3 linked regions of the Struthio camelus genome follow. The protein of the gene in region 3 binds, or shares a complex with, the protein of the main gene of each other region. Links are inferred from orthologs where the notes say so. Each region holds a gene or a part of one and is shown on either strand. Other genes may lie near its edges. The genes, in order: TCTE1, DRC3 and FBXL13.

Region 1 (4,213 bases), on a different chromosome or scaffold from region 3:
GGCAGAAAATGACTCATTTTTGTGTAGGATTTCTATCTTTTACTGTAAAATATCACCGTAATTGAATTTACTCTCATAATATTTGGAGACCGCATCAGGAACTTAGCTCCTGTCTCTGCAACCACCAAAGTTGGGTACCACAAACAAGGTCCTGACTAAAGTTATTGACCTGTAGTTGGGAATTTGCATATAGTTTTGAATAGATCTTGAAAGGATCTGCTTTCCAGCACTCTAAATCCAGATCATCAGTTTAACTTTGGTTTTAATTCAGTTTATGTTCAGAGAAAGACTGCTGCCACTAACACAACTATTCTAGGCTTACAGTAATGGCAGAATTTGACTTGTCATTTGCTGAACTTTTCCCCTGTGGATTCTAACCGTATTAAAGGATGATATTTGAGAAGTGAACTGTCTGTTTGCTTTTCATACAAGTCCTCGTCTTTTCATCTTAACTCAGGTGTCTGTCTTACTCCAAACTGATTCCTGATTCCTTCCCACTAAGACGCACTTTATCTTAGCCTTCAGATCCACCCTATTTAAATAAGGGTTCTCCTTTCCCAGGAGCTTTCTCTCCTCAGTCCCTTGCTTTGAGTGTCAGCTGACTTTTCTCTGGTGGAAGTTCTTTGTGGTAAGAGATACCAGAGAAAAGCAATGTGTATATACACCATGAATACTTGGTGACAGGTACATGTATGTGTTGAATCACAGACCTTATCAGTGGAGAGGCCTGTCTGCACATGGGAAGTCAAATTCTTAGACACAAAGTGGGGTTAGTCTTATATTTTTTCTCTCTCTGGGGCATTTTCTTCCTAAGGACGTGCAGAGTTTTACCAGAGGCTCTTCCCGGAGTCTCTTCTCCAATAAGAGAGCTGGCACTGCAGTGACCTTCTCTGCAAAGGCTCACAATGCAAGCAGAGGTGAGACACATGTTGGCATAAGTAGACTAGCTTCAGTCTGGCTCACTCAGGCAACAGCAGTGGGCAAGATGCAGCTGCACAGGTCAGACGCTGGTATGAGGGACTCCAAGAGACTGAGCACACTTACATGCATGCACTGTCGGTCCAATCCGTTTGGCATCAGGCTGACTGATCAAACTGAAAGGACTTGGAAGGTCTCCCAGCTGGGACCTAAGGCAGCGCTGAGCTTCTCTATACTGTATTATAGTTCCAGTGTGAACATACCCTTATACCTATCTTTGGTTTTTGCTACAACTCCACTAAGTCAGCCAAAAACACAGGTAGGTCCTGTCTTTCCTCCTCCCACTCGCTTCCCAGATGAGACACCCTTTCTATGTTTTTCTATGTGTTTCATCAGTCCACCTGCCTCAAAAGCACTTTCCCTGCCTGGGGACATGACTTATCACATCACCACCAAAAGCTGTGGAGAAGGCCTGAAACTGTGAGTACAATATGAATTCTGAGATGAGGGTTCTTTGGAGCAGGGAGTATTTCTACATCTCTTTGTACAGCACTCAGCACAATGGGAGCTCTATCCTTGAGTACTACCATAATGTATGTATGAATCAAGAGAAGGAAATAGCAGCTTCACAGTCCTGGTCACAGTTGAGGTAGTGAGTCCAGCAGACCATGGAAGGAAGAAGAAATGATAGGACAAGGTTAGGGCAGAGTCACATCCTGGATAGCAGCCCAGAGGACTAATGTCCTCTGGAGTGTCCCTGGAGTGTGCAAGTACATGCTTAGCAACTAAATAGCTTGCTTAACTAGCTGCTTGAGGAGATGTTTTTCCCCATCTGTTTCTCTGGCAGGGCTGGGTACCACCCTCTGTGACTTTCAGATGCATCTGCCTGCTCTGTTGACCCCCTGCTTCCCAAAAGAGATGCTGTCTCTCTGTGTGTCCCAGGCGAGAGGCACTCCTGCTTACTTTCAAAATTTCGAATGATGTGCTGGAGGCAGAGCTCGGTGAGCTGTGGGACAATGACGAGGGACCACTCAGGATCCTCAGCAATGATGCGCTGTATACAGGATGAATCAGCAGCGAAGCTGGCCTGGGATGGGAATGTGGGAAGGGCTGTGCTCACATCACCAGCCACTGGCTCCTGCATCCTGCTCAGGTCCCACTTCTCCTTCAGGAGAAGCTGGAGAAAAATTGCTTGAGATCAGAAGTCACCACCACGTTTTCCAACTGGACTGCCTGGAACAGAAAAAGATAATTTTAGTAAAAGGCCAAGCAATAAGAATACTTTGCTCACATTACTCTTTTGTGATGCACTTTTCCCCTGCCCTTTGCCTGCTTTTGCCTTTTCTTGGACTGGGAGCACTGCAGCACAGCGACTATTATTTAGCCTTATCTTTGTATAGTGCCCAGCACAAAGACATCTCTAGGTGCTACATGTAATAAACAGATAATAATGTGGTGTTAATTCAAAGTGCTATTGAAGAGGGAGGACAGGAAAGGGTTGCTTACTGTCTTTTCCAATAAAAGAAATAAGGGCCTTAAGTGAAGGTGGCAGGAGCTGGGTTCAAAACACAGAAAAGAGATGGTTCTTCACACCATCTGTAGTTACGCTGGGGAGTTTCTTGCCACAGGATATTGTGGATGTTGAAAATCTGTGGCGGTTTCAGTAGAGACTGGACAAGTTCATGGAAGATAAACCCCTTTGAGAATGATTAAACACACAGAAACTACATCTGGCTCGGTATGAGTTGAAAATGGTCGGAGGTGGGGAGAATGCTGGAGGGAAGCAACATGTATACTTGCATCTGGTCACTGTGAGAAATGGGATACTGGGCCAGATAATCCACATTTGTTCCAATATGCCTGCTCTTATGACTCTGTAAAGATAGATGCTTACTATACATATATTCATTTTTTTCCGCCTTTCACAATTAATTACCAGCTGAACTCCTTCCAAACATCCATTAACTGATGAGGTGGGTCAGTTCTATTCAGACCCACATTGAAGATAAGCAGATATGAGCTAAAAGAACCAGGCTAGAGCAGAAGGCAGGATGCCCAAGTCCTGTTAGCTCTGCAAAGCTTTCCCAGACTAGATCTTCCCTTTTGCTATTTCCTACCCCTACCTCAGGACCAGCACTCTCAGCCTTCATTATCGGACATGTATGATTATTGTCTGGAAGTCCTAATGGTTCCCTCACCAACCCCACCAGTCTGAAAGAGTCAGAGGAGACACCAGGAAGCAGAAGGCTCTTCTTCTGCCTTCTGGGTCCTGGATTCGACAGCGTTGCCCAGGCTTGGCAAGCCTGTCGCAAGGTGCCCAGACCTATGCTAAATATGTATTGGGGGTAACTGGACATAACAGGGCTACAGTTTAGTGGGAGAGGAAAGAGGCTCATAAGAACAAGAGAGTCATTATGAGGAACTGAATTTCAAGGGAGCTGCTTGAAAGGGAGAAGGATAGTTAGAGATTCCAGGGCATGTGAAAACAGCACCAGGCTGTTGAAACTGAATGACTGTAAAGGCCCTGTTAACTGGAGAGTTTGCAAGCGTAGGGGAAATTCTTCTTGAGTCTAGTTATGCTCTAGCTGAGATTGCATTGCTGGCAGTGCCAGAGGCAAGGGCAGCTTCCTACAAGACCAAGGGGAAGCCTTGGGGCAGAGGGGGCCCTGCACCATGATAGAGTCGAAGGATCCTGTGACAACATCCTACACAGAGGCTGATAGCCATGTAGTGTGTTGTGCCACAATATCCCTCAGATGAACAGTGCTTTGATTGCAAACAGCTCCTCCTTTACGGAGGGCAAGAGCCAGATGGTGCTCCCCAGATCAAATGCCTCATTTTCTTCCCTTGCATGAGGCTGCTTCCTTTTCCCCTGAAGTCCCAGTTTGTGCTGCCTCAGTCGGCACAAGCCCCTCTTTTCCCGAAAGCTTTGTAGTAGGCTTTGCTAGCTTTCCTCCCTTTGCTCCTTCCCCCTCCAAAAGACATCCGATGAAAGGGCCTACAAAGGAATGTGCAAAAGATCTGTGACATGCCAGGAACTAGAAGAGCAAAGCAAAATGATTCATATCTACTGCAGCAAGTGTGTCAGCAAAGGCTTCTTTAAATGCATTTTCAGCAGATCCTAGAAAAGAATGATCTTTTCAGAATGAGAGTCAGGAAATAAGGATGAGGGAGATGGCAGTGGCAGGGGTTCCTCCATCACAAAGCAGGAGGATGAAGGACGCTGAGGCAGGCAGGTTATGTCTCCCATTAGGCTTTGGTGAAAGGATGACAAAGGCAAAGGCCATAGAAAAAG
Region 2 (4,213 bases), on a different chromosome or scaffold from region 3:
AGGAGGGAAGGAGTAGACATAGCAACCCCGTAAGGGCTTGGCTAATTTTACAGTGACAATATACTCAAAACAATCTGCCTAATGTTAACAGATCATTAGCAAAACAACAATTCAAGCTCTGGGCTGAAGACTGAGCAGGTGCTTATACCTCTAAACCTCGTCACCTTCCCTACATATGCACAGGTCCTTAGAGGTTTCAACACTTTGGGAACAGGACGGCTGAGGCTGAAGAACATAACAATTCTGTAACAAGGCGCTCACATGCAGGGAAGGGAGCTGGAGGAAGCACACAACTTTCCTTCATCCATCAACTGTCTTGAAGTGGAGTAGCTCCTTCCTCATAGCAACCAGAAGCCCAGAACCCTGGCCTAACCCCAAAACTGCTAACCCCTGAACCCTCTGTCACCCACAGAGCCCTCCACTAACCCCCAGAGATAAACACTGAGTCCTCAGAGCCCCTCAAGAAGCCCTAGAGCACCCACACATCCTGATAGCTCCCCATTACCTCCACAGACCCCACCAATCCCCAGAGATCCACCCTACCTCCAGAAACCCTGCACTACCTCCACAGACCCCACCAATCCCCAGAGATCCGCCCTACCTCCAGAAACCCTGCACTACCTCCACAGACCTCACCAATCCCCAGAGATCCGCCCTACCTCCAGAAACCTCCCACTACTCCACAGCCCCCTATTAACACCCACAGGCCTCTCACTGCCTCCAGAGATCCCCATTAACTCCTGCAGATCCCCCATTAGCTCCAGAGTCCCCTGTTGATGCCACAGTTGTCCTTCTGCCTCCAGAGTCTCCCATTAACCCCCACAGATCCTCCCACTGCCCTCAGAGACCCCGATTAATGTCCAGAGGCCCTCCACTGCCTTCAGAGCCCCCTATTAATCCCCTTAGTTCCCCTACTGCCTCCAGAGACCCCCATTAACCCCCACAGAAGGCCCCATCGCCTCCAGAGACCCCCATCAACGCCCGGAGATCCCCATTACCTCAAGCCCCCCTCCCTGCAGCAATCCCCCAAAACCCCCACAGGCCCTCACCACCCCCAGTGTCCCCAGTAACCCTCAGAGCCTCCTCCAACTTCCCCCGCCCCGAGCTCCCAGCGGCCTCCAGCCGGCCTTACCGAGGCTCTGCCCCACCGGGGTGCTGAACGGGTTCCCCAGCAGAAACTCCATCTTGGGATGACAACAAACAGCGGCCCGGCGGCCCCCCCTCCCCCACCCCGCCCTGACTGGCACCCGCCCCCACCAACCGCAGCATACCCTGCCAGGCGAGGCCCGCCTCCTTGCATCCGATTGGGCCGAGACTGCACTCCCCGTGGTCTCACAGGTTAAAGAGCGTGTCCATCACTGTCAAGTGAAGGACCCGCCCCGTCGGTAATCCACGCCCTCCAGTTGATCGACAGCAGGGATATCGCTATAGGCATTCACCATTGGGCAACTGCCAAACCGTTCTCTAAGACTATTGGGCAAGTTCCACGTCAATCACAAGTGCTTCCTCCCGCCCCAAGGGCACGGTGCCCGCTCTGATTGGCTGACACCGTTTTCTCGCGCTCTGATTGCTAGACAGCCTTCCCACCCACTCCCTGACCATTGGCGGCTCAGCTTGTCACGTGGCCTTGCTTAGCAACGGGCCTGGGCTTCCGTAGCAGTCGGCTTGGAGGCCTGGGGCTGAGGCGCAGGTGGGAGCGGGGCGGTGGAGGGGGCCAGGCCGGGGGCCTGGGGCGCCGCAGAGGTCGGGGGGCCGGGGGCTTGGAGGACCGGGGCCTGGAGGCCGGGCAGCCGTGGGGCTGAGGCCCCAGGACGGCTTGGGATGGGGCCTGGGGAGGCCAAGGGGCCTGGGGTCTCTGGTCCCTGCAGGCAGCCACAGCGGCCAGCAGCCCCCTTCTCAGGGGGAAGGAGGGGAGCCCGCCTGGGTTAGTGTCACCTGGATAGGGAGGGTGAGAGGCACCGTCCTGGGCCCTGCAGCGCCTGGGGGTGTTGGGGGATGCGGAGTTGCTTCCCAGGCCTGGGCTTGTGCCGATGGTGAGCAGCAGCACCTTGTCTGGGTGATGCATCCACTGCTCTCATTTCCGCAGTGCCCAGATTGCTCCTGCAGAGTGTCAGCAGGCTGCAGACCTTGACGGTTTGGTTAGATCTGTGGCACTAACATTAGCTAAAGAGATGACAGACAAATGCAAGGAAAAGGCAGTGGAAAGTCCAGCAGGTCACAGATGAATGAATCCATGATGTGCTGCTATTCCTTGGGCTGTGTTGAACATGGTCATATAGAGAGTTGGTTTGTTACTTAAAAGCATGGTTAGGATGGAATTATCTAAATTCAAGCATTTCTCATTCCTGTGCTCCTATGCAGAGAAATCAGCCAAACTTTTTCCATGAAGTGAAGGTTTGAAGATTCAGGTCCTTCATACTGAGTCTGTGCGCAGTTCCAGAAAGACAAGCAGCCTCATTGCCTCCAGGGAAACGTTAGGTATATTTAAATAACAAAGCAAGGGCAGAGAGTTAGGAATTGTGGATTTCCTAAATCAGTTGTCAGAGTGAACGTATAAGTGTTCAATGCTATATATTGACTGAAATACACTGCCTCGGTCAGATGACCCTTACTGTGGATCTCTATTCAGTGTTTGCTTTAGCGAATCATTGCTATTGTTTATAAGTTTTCCTCCTTCCCCAAATTTGTTTTTATTTTCATTATGAAATCAGTGTTTAAAATTTAGCAAACTGCTGTTACTAACATATGGTCTCTTACTCTATAAATCAAACCTTCCTATAATGGTAAACTTGCCTTTCAAAACTAGATTTATGTGGTATACAGAGCCTTGAATAGGCCATTTCCATAAAGATGGATTTCAGCAACAAGTGACTGCCATGTGAAGGATCCTTCCGTACAAAACACTCGTTGTTTATAGGGCACAGGGCCTCCTTTAGCTGTTCTGTTTATCTGGCCAAATATTTACATTCTTTATGGAAAACTCTCAAATATGGTGTGAAGTTTGCCTGTTGTAACCTGCTAAAGTTGCCTGCCTGTACGGTTGTGCTCAGCGTAGCATCAGTGACTTTGTGGTAAAAGTAAAATACCTCTTTGATATCATCCGTGAGGTATTAAATCCTCTCAATACCCAGCTATGTTTTTGTTATCTTTGGAACTGTTATGCCATTTCAATAAATTTTGGAAATGGTAGCCAGGCAGTGGCTTTATTTATTTATTTTTTCTTTTAAGGCGCTTATCATCTAAAAATGAGTCAATTATACAATATCATTGAGCCAAATGTGATCAGCGAAGAAATGGTTCAGAAAGCTGTGGAAGAGCAAAGTCAAGATGAGGCAGGGCAGCTTGCCAAAAGGGAAGGTATTAGTTTTAAAGACGTCACAGAGCTACAGTTCAGTTTTAGAAGTGAGTATCAGAATATATATATTATATGTTTATTTATTAGAGGGTAGAAGAATTAAGCATTGAGTGGCTAACTGGCAATTATGTAATCATGATTAGCTTGGATTTGGTATATGAATAGTAAGGGACTGGACTTACATTTTTAGTCATACTTGTATGAAGTAGTTTCAGTAGAGAGAGCTGGGGGGCTTTGCTGATTGATAACTTTAAAGCTGCTTAACTTTGTGCTATTATTGTCACTGCCGTTCTTATTTAACATTTATATTGTGGTGACACCTACAGGCCATAGGCCTGTTGGGCCCTTTTATATGTGGACAAATCAAATGCTGGCCAAGCTGTTAGTGACCATCGCTGGCTATTACGTGAGGGCTATTTGGTAGCTTATGGCGATGACAGTTCAATTCAGTGGCCTCCCCTGGCCACCCATAGCATTAGGCCACCTTGCCTTTTACTGTCAAACCAGACATAAACTTGCATTCAAAAAACAAAAAAAAAAAGAAAAAAGAAAAAGAAGAACATCTGGCTCACTATTTGAGTATTTTCGGGGTACGTAATTTCATGGACAAAATCTGCTTTTGCTTATTCATTGTGTGCTCCAGTAAAATGTGTACTAAGAAACTCAGAGGATACACGCACTTCCTGTTACTTGATTCTGCATACATTTGTGTGCAAATCAGAACATGGCACTGCGTGAGTATTTAATGCATGCAGTTCCTTGCTTTACATTGCACTCGCTAAACAATAGCACCTAACAAAATCTTCAGGGAATTCATTGGCATAAAGAGAATTGGGGTGAGAATGTTTCATATTTTGT
Region 3 (4,213 bases):
AATCAAGACACTGTATGTCCTGTAATCCTGTTTTTCACACAAGTTCCATAAAACTCTCTTTTGTGTGAAGCTTGACAATGGTTACATTGTTGATTTGTCGTGACTATTGCCTTTCCTGCTCACTAATAATGATCTTGCTACGTCTTTATGTTTCCTTATGCCCATTTGCTGACTTGTCTTATCATTAGATTATAAATCACTTTGGCATGGAACATCTTTTGATAAATGTGCAGCACCTAGCACAACATAGTACCCTGAATGACTACTTAGGTTTCTAACCATTATGATGAGGAGACTATTACAAAAAGTAGTATGTGAGATCAATATATTAAAAAATGTACAAAGATATGAATTTTGCTATTTTGACTTGTTGCTGAAAATATGTTTTTTCACAGCCTCATATTTGCAGTGTTGAAGATGTGTTATTATATATTCTGATTACACTATCGTTCACACGTTTTAAATAGTTCATAACACCTTGCTTAAACGTCAATGCAGTATTATAAATATTAAATATTATTATTTCATATTTACCTGCAATAAGGGACTACATTCTAAACCAGATGCAGTTTAGTAAACACAGTAAAAGTCTGCACGCCCAAGACGAGTTCTTGCAAAGTAGACAGCAGTCTAAAACAGCAGATCACCAACGGTAACAAAACTGATGCAAAAGTGTGACAAAATGGTTGTCAACTTTGTCTGTTCTGGACACCTAGAAAGTCTGGTCTACTGCTGCTCTTCCTGTGAGGGGAAGGGGGGAAAGAAGAGGCTATGCAAAAAGGCTAATGTGGCCAAGAGGGGCTGTCAGCTACTGCCTTCCACTAACATTAGAAAGAGCATAAAGCCAGAGATCTCTCAGAGGCGTCACTGTTCCAGCCATGCTCCTGGACCCTCCCATTCCTCTTCCCATCACCGTAGTCATTCATCCATCATGGCACAATTCAATTGGGCCATATGGCAGAAAAATTTTGAGCCAGCTCTGCGCCCGCATTTAATTTTAATATTGAATGGACAGGACATAACAGTGTCTTAACACTGAAAGGCATTATATCCAAAGTGTCTGCAGGATTACAGTTTACTTTTCCACGCATGACGTTCAAAAGTGAATCTGCATGAGACTCGAAAGAGAAAAATCAGATGGGAATGAAAGAAACAGATGCAGTAGGGAATCCCAAATTATCTGGACATGACTACTCCGTTTGGAGCACGTTCAAACCACAACCCAGTCATACAAAGCCCTCAGCAAGCAGCCATTTTAGAACTGCAACTATTCTTTCAACAGTATATACATAAATATCCATGGGTTTGGGCTTAGCTGTTATGTTCCTTCATATTGGGACCAGTATCATCTCATTTATTATCTCACAAGCATACTGTGACTTTATAAACCAATAAAAATATAATAAAGCAACAAATTAAAAATACAGATATTGGGAGGCATCAATCCTTAAATTAGAAAAAAAAAGTAAAAGACCTTTATAAATGGTCTTTTAAAACATCTTAAATAGGCTAATTTTGTAACTAGTTTCTTCCTTTAAGAAATTCCCTTTAATCTCAACTTCGATTCTTTCATTTTTAGTTATTAATTTAATGCCACTGTTACTCTAAAGGAATTTAAAGCTTTTGCTTGGAAATGTAAACATGAGCTATTTTTGAAGCGCTGAAATCAAGATATACCCCTTACGCAGTTACACCTTGTCTTTTGTTTTACTGTACTGAAAAAAACACAGATCAATCAAGAGAGGGATTCTCGTGAGAAGTATTCGCTCATAGTCTGCTTGGCGGTGCTGCTCTGTAATTATACTAATTGGTTCAAGATTTCTCTATTAATGTTTCCACGGAAATCCTGGCTGCGACAGCTGCTTGCAAGTTGGGTCTACTTTTGGTAGCTTAAAAATACCAGGATGTCTCTTAAAACTTTTCTTTAGGCATTGTCCATTGTGCTAATGAAACTGAAACACAGCCGATTTTTTTGAACCTGACAGAGGTAAATGTGACAGAAGTAAAAAAGGAGGAAATCACAGCAATGGAAGAGGGAATTGGATAATAAACCGAATGCCAAAACCAAACTTTGTTTGCCCCCCAGTCCTTCACAACGTCCCATAGTTTTACTCTCTCGCATTTCATGAAAGCATATTCACACCTGGTCCCATCGATACCCCACGCACCAAAGTCTGAAACGTGGTCCATGGCCATCTTCACCTTTGACAGGACTACAGGCCACAAAAAACTATAGATTGCATCTGCAATGCTCAAAACAGAGTATCTAGCTCCTGAACACACTCAGCTTTCCACCTGAAATCTAAAATTAAAAGTATTTCTACAATCAAAACTAAGGAACTTAGGCAAATATAGCGAAGGTGCCAAAGCAGTTCACTCTTTTGTCTTCATTCTGGTCATACTTTCAGTTTAAACACAGATCAGGATGTAGAATTGTCTTGTTCCACCTAACTTTCCCAGTTTAAAGTCTTCATAAATTGTTTGAAGAATGCTATTAACAGAAGGCCAAGAGCAAAAATCAGCCCGACACCCAGCAGCATTAGGGGTCGCGGGCTCCGCGGCCAGTACCGGGGCAGGGTGGCAGCGCCATTTCTGAGGGGGGCATTTCTGAGGGGACATCCCTGAGGGGGGACAGTTCTGAGGGGACATTCCTGAGGGGGACGTTCCTGAGGGAGGGCGTCGCCTGCCGCCCATGGATGCTAACGGGGAAGTCTGCGCTCCCGCCGACTTCAGCGGGCGGAAGGAAGGCCGTCGGCCAGCGAGGGCGGCGCGGGGTGCGCAGGGCGACGCGCTCCCCTCCGCGGCCACGGCGCGGCGGCGGCGGGCAGCGGCCGCCGTTACCTCGTAGACGCCGAGGAGGTTGTGGCGCCTGAAGTAGGCTCGGAGCTCGGGGTCCGCGTCCCTGAGCGACGACATGGCGGCGCCGGGACGGGCTGCGGTCGCCTAGCAACGCGCGGGCCTGCGGCCCGGCCCCGGCCCCGCTCTACCCCGCTCCAGGAGTCACAGCTGCACACGGCAAAGGGCTTTCTGCGTAGGCCGGCAGTTAGCCCGTGGGAGAAAGCCTTGCACGTTGTAAGCGGCTGGGAGAGGCGTGTCTGTAGCACTGAACCGACGCCGGGCCCAGGGAGCCCTCCCGGGCCCGCGCCGCCAGCGCTCGGGCTGCGGCGCGGGGCTCGGACCTCCGCCCGGCGGAGCGCGGCCGGCGGGAGGCGCAGCGCCCCTGCGAGCCGCCCGCAGGCAGGTATCCGAAAGGGCAGCGGAGCTAACACGGAAAGGCAGCAGGCATCGCTGCCACTGGCGGCGTAAGGAAGTGCTGCGCAGCTAGACGTTCCCGCCCCGGGCACCGAGAGGCGGTGATGAGGGCGTGAGGGGGCCGGAGGGGCCCGGCATGGGGGAGGCGCGGGGCGCCGCGCTGCGGGCGGCCGCGCTGGGGCTCCTGCTGCTGGCGGCGGCCGCTGCCTGCTACCGCCTGTCGCGGCGGGCGGCGAGCGGCGGGCGGCGGGGCCCGAGGCCGCGGCCGAGACCGGGCGCTTCGGCGGGGCCCGGGGCCGGGGCCGGGCGGCGGGCGCCCTGCGGCCCGCCCTCAGGTGAGGCGCCAGGCGCGGGCAGCCCACCGAGGGCGCAGCCGCGTTGTTCTTGGTCAGGAGACAGAGGAGGATGAAGAACAACTGTTGTTTGTTTTTCGAGCTAGCTCTTGCATTGTGGTAATTAACGCTGACTTTGCTTTCTGGTCTTCAGAGACCCTGAGTGTAGCCCCAGGTTCTGGAAGCAGCAGTCAGCAAGGGGAGACGTTTCAGTCTCTTTTCCTGCAGTGCCCAGGCAGATTTCCACGTTTCATTGCAGAGAACAGAGGGAAAATTTACATGCTTGGGGAATACTGCTAATAATTTTAAAAGAAAGGTTTGCTGTTGGTTAACCAAGGAATAACATATGCCGAGTGTTGCTTGTGTTTTCTGCTTTGAAAAGAAGTCGTAAGGCTCAGGAGAAGGGACTGAAATCCTGCTTCTGTTGTAAAACAATCTTCTTGCCATAACGTGGTGGTTGGGTACAGTAGATCTTGGATCACTGTGGCCTGCAACCGAGAGCTGAAAGTCACCTCTGTGAAAGACATTAAGTAGTAACTAAGGCAAATGTCTCAAACTTGATATCAGGTATTTCATTTAATTTTTTAACATTGACAGACACCAGTCCTACGGCATCACCCCATACCATG

The links.
Region 1: FBXL13 (region 3) and TCTE1 share a complex: the UniProt entries of both Homo sapiens proteins name them as parts of the nexin-dynein regulatory complex. The link is inferred for Struthio camelus from reciprocal best matches to the Homo sapiens genes FBXL13 and DRC5.
Region 2: FBXL13 (region 3) and DRC3 share a complex: the UniProt entries of both Homo sapiens proteins name them as parts of the nexin-dynein regulatory complex. The link is inferred for Struthio camelus from reciprocal best matches to the Homo sapiens genes FBXL13 and DRC3.

The regions. Positions count from the first base shown.
Region 1 is NC_090944.1:104,557,380-104,561,592, forward strand, and holds the start of TCTE1 (dynein regulatory complex subunit 5), read right to left. Parts: upstream 2,327-4,213; 5' UTR 2,063-2,326; coding exon 1,882-2,062; intron 1-1,881. UniProt on the Homo sapiens protein: Component of the nexin-dynein regulatory complex (N-DRC) a key regulator of ciliary/flagellar motility which maintains the alignment and integrity of the distal axoneme and regulates microtubule sliding in motile axonemes.
Region 2 is NC_090956.1:3,768,929-3,773,141, reverse strand, and holds the start of DRC3 (dynein regulatory complex subunit 3), read left to right. Parts: upstream 1-1,632; 5' UTR 1,633-1,690; intron 1,691-2,361; 5' UTR 2,362-2,478; intron 2,479-3,228; 5' UTR 3,229-3,245; coding exon 3,246-3,402; intron 3,403-3,417; exon of another isoform or gene 3,418-3,782; coding exon of another isoform or gene 3,783-3,945; intron 3,946-4,213. Other genes in the region: TOM1L2 (TOM1-like protein 2), read right to left, coding at 1,133-1,184. UniProt on the Homo sapiens protein: Component of the nexin-dynein regulatory complex (N-DRC) a key regulator of ciliary/flagellar motility which maintains the alignment and integrity of the distal axoneme and regulates microtubule sliding in motile axonemes.
Region 3 is NC_090942.1:14,258,379-14,262,591, forward strand, and holds the start of FBXL13 (F-box and leucine-rich repeat protein 13), read right to left. Parts: upstream 3,191-4,213; 5' UTR 2,917-3,190; coding exon 2,842-2,916; intron 1-2,841. Other genes in the region: ARMC10 (armadillo repeat-containing protein 10), read left to right, coding at 3,389-3,587, 4,182-4,213. UniProt on the Homo sapiens protein: Substrate-recognition component of the SCF (SKP1-CUL1-F-box protein)-type E3 ubiquitin ligase complex.